Daphnia pulex: one gene and its partner. The protein of the gene in region 2 interacts with the protein of the main gene of each other region in a pairwise test. Links are inferred from orthologs where the notes say so. Each region holds a gene or a part of one and is shown on either strand. Other genes may lie near its edges. The genes, in order: trafficking protein particle complex subunit 6b-like and ras-like protein 1.

Region 1 (3,096 bases), on a different chromosome or scaffold from region 2:
TACAATTGGCCAAATGAGAATGAAATTCTGGTCAGAAACATTAGAAGCTGTGTATCAAAACACACCACCAGCACAGCTAGTTGCTTTGCAGCTTTACGAAGCTGTCCAACGTCATAATCTCTCCAAAAGGTGGCTGCAAAGGTTGATCTCCAGTAGAGAAAATCACTTGTCTTCCAAAGCTTTTCAATCTCTTTCAAAAGTAGAGGATTATGCAGAACATTCTGTTTCGTCTGTCCTGTACCTTACATTGGAGTCTCTCAATATTAGAAAAGTTGATAGTGATCATGCTGCTAGTCACATTGGGAGAGCTCAAGGACTCGTTACACTATTGAGAGCAATCCCATATAATTCAAAAAGGCAACAAGTGTATGTGCCTCTTGATCTTCTTGTTCAACACAAAGTTTCTCAAAATGATTTTCTAAGAGGTTCTGATGACAAGAAAGTGAAAGACTTGATCTTTGATGTAGCTAGTACAGCTAATGCCCATATTCAAAAGGTAAAGTCATTCTTTATTTGTTTAAATTCGTTTCATTTAAAAACGTCTTTTCTTATTAGGCAAGAACTATTATCCCAAAAGTACCGTCTGAAGCGAAGATTGCGCTAATGCCTTTAATCAGTGTGGATTCGTATTTAGATCAACTGAGGGCAGCGGATTTTAATGTCTTTGATCCGAAATTATCGCAGCGGAACAATCTGCTCCCTTGGAAACTATGGTGGAATAAGTTTAGGGGTAAAATTTAGTATTTCAATTGCATTTATTTAATGTTTCATCCAAGACATCAGCCACCTTGTTATGCATATATAAAACAAACAAACAAAAATAAAGTATGATGTGAACTAATATGATTGATTAAGCTCTTTGGAGGTGGACCTGGAATTTACAAGCTGGCATGGTTGTCACTTCAGCAGTAACAATGCAGGTGAGTCCTAGGGAGGCTAAAGCTCCTCTCAACAAACCACATGTAAAAACTAGATACTGAAATCACATAAAGGAATAATAATCAGACAAAAAGAAATGAATATGGTTGAAAGTTATAAAATACCTTTGGGGCTAATTCTAGATATTGCCTGCTGTTGGATATTGAGGCAAGGAACCTAAACTTGTTATCTTGGAGGACATATACACCTTGATGATTAGTCCTGAGGTTGTCAACTTGCTTCTTGAAAACTGCACTCCAAAAATCTTTACAGATAGCTTTCATGACTTCTAGCTCATCTTTAAATCTTGATAAATCCTTGGTTAGTCTTAGAAATGATAAATATTACTAAGTGTCACAACTGTCACATACAAAAGGATTTTTTCTGTACCTTTCAATGAATCTATAGCCAGTGGAGTAGCCAATTTGTTCCAATTTAGACATAGCTTCATCCTGTAAGAACAGTCAGTGTTTATTCTGAAAAAGCTATGTGAATTGAACAAAACTTACTCCATCTTGAAGGGAGCCAGGATCAGATTTTGTCACTTGACTGACTATTTCCATATGAAGAAAATCAAACAACGCATCATCGGCCATTTCTTATACACGACAAGTTCGAAAGAGGTAAATAAATTATCGAATATTTTAATTCAGACAAGAATATTCATGAAATTAACTTGAACGAATATGTGCAGAGACGTAAACAATAAGGTTTTCTAGCAGACAACTCTAAATTTAGTTTGGGTTGCGGTTGCCCTAGTATGAAAAACTAATTTTGTAGTTTTTTTTTACAATTCAAAAATATTCCTGATCCCTGAAGACATAATAATACGACTACGCTTGAGTAATATAGCAGTTTTTACGTGAAATTATTATTGAAATAATCAATTAGATTTTCTTAAAGCTGAAATAACGTTTGACGGTTTGAGAGCAGCACCAGCGCTTAATGGTGTGAGTGACGTCATACAATAAGTTTTGACAGGTGGATCTTGCTCCGATATTGTTCGATCATGTTCAAGAAATTAAAGGATAAAATTGCTGAGGAAGTAAAGCAATCTCCGTTACGGCTTCCAACTTCTGTGCAGCAACATTTGTCTCAGGTAGGGATTCTATACCGAATTCTCCGTGTTCATTACCATAAGAGTTTTTACTGTCATGGCTTATTGATGATCAAGTCGGTATTTTTAATATCAACTATTGAGGTCTTTAATGTGCAAGCTATTTTGTCTGGTTGTGGGGCATGGAAAAACAAGCTTTTAATTATGCTGCTTTGTGCTTTTACCCTGTTTTCCTTCACAACCTTCAGTACTCTCCTTTCACTCGGGAAGCACATAATGGTGATGTCATAGAAGCCCAACAGATTCAAAGTGGCCTGGGGGAAAATGCTGCAATTCAAAGAACTCATGAGGTAACTTAGAGATGATATTCAATGAATGATGCATTTTGCAAATTAATTTTGCATTTTTTTAAGTAATTTTGTGCACTCATGTTGGCTTTACAGGACTGTGGCTTTAGAAATATAAGAAATATCAGTTCAATTTGTTATTGTTGAAATCTTGCCTTACCTCTGCATCAACATTACATGCATATCGTTTTTTATGTATTTAATTAAATCCATAAAACTCATTCATCTAATTTTAAATCTTCTCAGACATTAGTTGACATCGCCGAAGATGGAGAAGCAGGAATCAACGCATTTAGCATAGCCGACGTTGATAGTCGACCGTCATCACCATCAGGCTCAAACAAAGAAGGACGATTTCAACCTGTGAATCTAAATGAACCCAAACGAGAAATGACGACCAGCACTCCACAATCTGCTAACCATACCGGTCGGCTATCCCGCCAGTCATCACTTAGCTCTGTTTTCAGTGATGTCTCATTTCTTCCTGGTTCTTCAGATCCGACATATCACCCGTATCAATTCCAGGTACTATATCCTCACCAAAGCATCGAATAAACTAACCTAATCGAATTACGTTTCCTGTCCAGTCGGATCTAGAGTCTAATGTAAGCGAATTTGACGATTCCGCCAGCCAGAGTGGTACGCATGCTGTTGATCGAATATCCAAAGAGCACGTTTATAATGCCTACCAGAAAATGAGGGTGCGCTATCATAAATATAAAGGACGTTACTCTGATTTGGCACGACATTATAAAGAACTAGAGCGCGACAGAG
Region 2 (4,606 bases):
CGCGATGGAATGATAGAGCCTTTCTCCGAAGTAATATGCCATGTCGTTGCGCTTTACCATTAGCCTCACATCGCCTTCTCATTTGCATTACTAAACTTGTGCTCTCTCTTGCCCTAGTTACACACTCATATGCACTGCAGCAGTCGTATAGTTGGTTTGACTTGCTCTTTTTTAAAGGATGCAATGATACAATCAGCCGTCGCAAACACACAACTTATACTGTATACGCACGTCCACACTTCTAGAGTTGTAGTAGCGCGTTTGATATTACAAAGGGTTCGTGGAAATAACATATGCCCACCTTATTTACTATCATAAATGTGTGATGTGCGATGTCTGTTTGGTCGTCCTGTCGTTTTACGCCGTCTATTTTATTCTTGAAGGGTTCAATGTGTACGAGGTGATATCAAATACTATTGTCAGTTGACCAACCAACACTGACAGCCCAGACAACCGGCATGAGACATCACAAGGCCTGATGTTTTTCCTGGGTTTTCCATAATATTAACATAGCAACTGCCGAGCATACTGAATACATCAAGTCTATTCAATATTATTGAAAAATTAGACTCCACTCTAGCTGGTGTATCGATTTCGCCATAAATTTAAAAACAATTGCGCTCGGAAGCTTGCTAGGAAAGACTTTGTAACTCGACACATTTTTCTTATCAGCTATATACTCATGATGGACTCAAATAAAAGCTGAAATTATCTTACCAGATTTGCCAACCGAGTGATGACCGAGAACCTGTGCATAAAATAATAACATTGATTAGAAAATGATTAGCAATGAAAATCAGGATTTGTAAACTCTACCATGACTCGCCATCGTGGCCTTAAAGACAACGTTGCCAAATTAAGGCGGTTGACCAACTTGTTGCAGTGCGGACTATCCGACGGGTGTTGCTGGTGTTTGGGTGGCGACGCCATCGATTTTCCCTCCTTGCTTCGACCACGTCTGCTCCAAGCCTGCAACAACAAATTCAAACTTTTTTGTTTGTTTATTTTTAATTTCCAACATCACGACCGCAATCCTAATTCATATGTGCAGAAAAGAGGAATCCAGATAGATCTGTATTATGTTCAAGATGACATCTGAGGTTCGCGGGGTACTATATATTATGTCTTATGTCTCAGTCACGATGATTAGGTTTCCTTCAAAGAGTTACTAGATTTCTCTTTTTTCAATATTCTCGTTTCATTTCGTTCGGTAACAAACTATGCGGAATATATAGCCTAGAGTATTGCGTGAGACGGAAGAAAGCGGGGGAGACACAGGAAATGGGATCTGCTATATACTAGACAGAACCGCCCGCTGGATAACAATTGAGAGCAGCAATGTGAGAAATACGGATGGGATGAAATGGCCTAGGGGGAGGAGGATATCATCGCAGAAAGAGCAAAAGGAAGAGGGACGAGCAGAGACGCGGACGGATATGATGAAACCACCATTTTGATCTTAAAGGTCTGTCAAAGGCTCGGCAGCTGTCTTTGATAGCCTTCGGCTCACACGCCCCACATATAGCGAGCTGCTGATGGGCGCGAGGATCGAACAAGAATGGGGTAGAGCATTTGGAGACAAAACAGGAAATCATCCGCATAACTGTAATACCATTTTCACAGAAAACGTAACATATAGTACATGTGCGATATGTTACGTATAGCACATATACGAGCGGCTGTGGATCGTGGATGATCCACGGTCGCTCTGTGTTTATAGAAGGCGTCTTATTATTAATCTCAATTTCTCTTCAAGACGTACGCTGGACGCTGGACTGCTTCAATGCACTATTAATTGCTGACGTAGCCTTACTTTTCCCCCTCGGTATATAGAGAGTGATATAGCTATTCAGGAGCTCAGCCAGCGACAAAGAAAAATATATCCAATCAACCAACTGGACTTGACTGAATGACGAATAGATGCTCTTTTAGCGGTTATACTATTTATTTTTTGGTTGCGGCATAGCTGGATTTTTGCTATAAGCGCAGAGCAATCTGCGTTGCTTCATCAGCAAGGAAATAAACAAGGAAAAGATTTCCGGAACGCGATACGAATTCAAATAAAAGAATACGGCGCACAAATGGTGAGCTGGAAGTGCGTCATTCAACGTAGTATATTTTTGTGTCTCTTTTTTTCCCCCTTTCGTTTCCAAACGATTTTCGCTGAAAAGCGCAAAGCGATCTTTTTTCCTTGTATACCGGGAAAGGGAGCGTCTTTTTCGGTGCAAGGATATATAATGCGACCCTGGCTTTCGCCATGAAAATAACGGCCCTATAACAACGCTAACCAATAATCAACAATGAAAATCAAATGGCTCTATCCGAGAGGAAAGTACAAAGAAAAGGATGAAAATATGGGAAAACGACCGACGTAGATAGCGGTAGGTAGAGACGGATTGTCGAGGGATATAGACATCAGTTGTGTATATCGACCATGACGATATAGCGCTACCCCATCGCAAGTGAGGCAGAATGATAGATAAATAAAGACAATGATAATAATCCAGCTCCGCGTTTCAATAAGCACAGACTCCAACGAGCTCCACTTGATTGCTCGGAAAGCTATAACGGAAGGCCAACTATTAATTAAACATTGAATGACGAATAAAAAATTGGATTGTCTCTAAAAGAGACAAGTCAACAACTCAGTGAAAATGTGAAACATAATATTATACGTAAGCGGTAGCATAACATCACTCACTGCTGATTAAGTTGTTGATTGATAGAATATGAGTCACAGCTCGCCAGTAACACAATCAACCAAATAACCAAATACCAAAATATCAAATGAGCATCAACCGGCAATCGATGAGAGCAACTTGAGCGTCTTGTTTTCTGATCGAAAGCTCCACCGACACTGGGAGGCTCACCCTGGGAGTGCTAGCATTTGGGCGGATGTCTCCATGGGCTGCGGCTGGATGTAGAGTACAGAACAAGGACATGTTCTTCGACAGGCGCGCGCGCAACAACAGTTTGAGGCCACAATGAATTAAAAAAACTTGAATTGTTTTATTTTCTTCTTTACTTGTCACTACCAACTTTTCAATAATAGTCCAAACAGTATTTGCTAAATTTCCTTAGAACTATTGCTAATATTTCAAAAGCAGATCACCCAAAAACATAAAAATAAAAATAAAAATAGAAAAAATAGTCTGGAAAAACCTACGTAAAAAGATTCTTTTATTCATGTCCAATGATAAAAGTAATTTATCATGATACATAGCAAAATAGTCATTTAGGCTACGTATTCGTTTTTTTTGTTGAAATGTACCTACGTGATACCATCCTACGTGGTGGTACTCCTGCTAAAGAGTTTGCGTTGAATGCAGCATAAATCTGATTACGTGATAAATGGTGTTGATTGGCGACTTTTCTCTATTGAACTGATTCTGGTAAAAGGTTTGACAAAAATTATGACCGAAATATCCAACCGCATTGTGAGATTGTATTGTCAGGCTACTCGAAAAGAAAAGCAATTGTCGGGCTATTCGAAGATAAAAAAAGGATCACGCTCACTTTGTCCTAAGTTTTCCGATTGAGTGTTCATGTGTGAACGCTCTCGTCTGAGGAAACCCTTTTGAAAGTGTCGTGAACTTTACAACAAAGGCAGGCGTTGCATTGTGACACTGCTTGTTTTCTTTCTCCCGCCGTGCATTTTAAAGTAACATAAAAGCCGGAAAGGGATGATGGCTATACGCCAAAGTAAAATCAAAACAGAATAATATTGGCTACGCGTGTCCATATAAAGGCCAATAATAAAAGTAGCCCTGCTATGCAAACTCTAAGAATGTCGGAAATGCAATGATTTCTAGTTGGCTATTTTGATTTCTATGGTTGGCTTCTTTTGTGTAACTTTCCAATGCCAAGGTTTTATATTAACACTTGGAAGAGAATCATAACTCACCAGATTTGTCTAGAAAGTGCCTTTATCAAGCCTATATACGCCGTATAGATCTCCTTTCGTGCGAAATATAAAATAAGCGCCATAAGCCTAAACGGCCGCAGTCAGCAATATTTTTGTTCCATCCTTTCCGCCGAACTGACAAAAAGACCGCATGTATTTGGCCGCGTGCATAAGCAACCCATATTATTATTATTATTATTATTTATTATTTACCTTCCTGTTATTGTTATATGGGTTATATAGCTACCGGTACCGTAGTATTTTACCTGGAAAATCTAAGCGTATTAAATGTGTATCAAATCTTTTTATAGATAAAAGAAACGAACGGGCGGATTGGAAAATAATAAATTTTATTTTATTCACTCAGCTCTTTAGTTCATTTTTTATTTTTGCTTTTAGATCAGTGACCGTTATGTAGCACGATGTTTGATGTTGCAATAGCCTAGCTTAGCCACTGTATGCCTGATTCTTCAGTCACCAAGACAACAACCGTCTTTTCCGTCGCAACGTCTTCAACTACGCACCAGCTCCGGAATCCACGACTCCTACCGGCTATATACATCATCGTCTTATCTCATCGACCGGATTTCGTGAACCGTCAAAACTTGTATTTCCCAGTCCTGCGTTCATACAGTTGTGTCTATCAGGCGACTGTTGAACTAGAAGTCTACAGCCATAAGCGTATGTTTAGAGCTTTTAATC

Evidence for each region.
Region 1: the proteins of ras-like protein 1 (region 2) and trafficking protein particle complex subunit 6b-like interact in a two-hybrid assay, tested with the Drosophila melanogaster proteins (2 studies listed by BioGRID). The link is inferred for Daphnia pulex from reciprocal best matches to the Drosophila melanogaster genes CG5160 and Trs33.

Annotation. Positions count from the first base shown.
Region 1 is NC_060028.1:8,533,329-8,536,424, reverse strand, and holds trafficking protein particle complex subunit 6b-like, read right to left. Parts: upstream 1,670-3,096; 5' UTR 1,515-1,669; coding exon 1,428-1,514; intron 1,371-1,427; coding exon 1,309-1,370; intron 1,246-1,308; coding exon 1,044-1,245; intron 977-1,043; coding exon 851-976; 3' UTR 742-850; downstream 1-741. Other genes in the region: NADH dehydrogenase (ubiquinone) complex I, assembly factor 6-like, read left to right, coding at 1-496, 556-741; golgin subfamily A member 4-like, read left to right, coding at 1,928-2,017, 2,224-2,325, 2,569-2,847, 2,910-3,096.
Region 2 is NC_060022.1:5,752,888-5,757,493, reverse strand, and holds the start of ras-like protein 1, read right to left. Parts: upstream 2,860-4,606; 5' UTR 2,702-2,859; intron 989-2,701; exon of another isoform or gene 970-988; 5' UTR 931-969; coding exon 817-930; intron 749-816; coding exon 718-748; intron 1-717.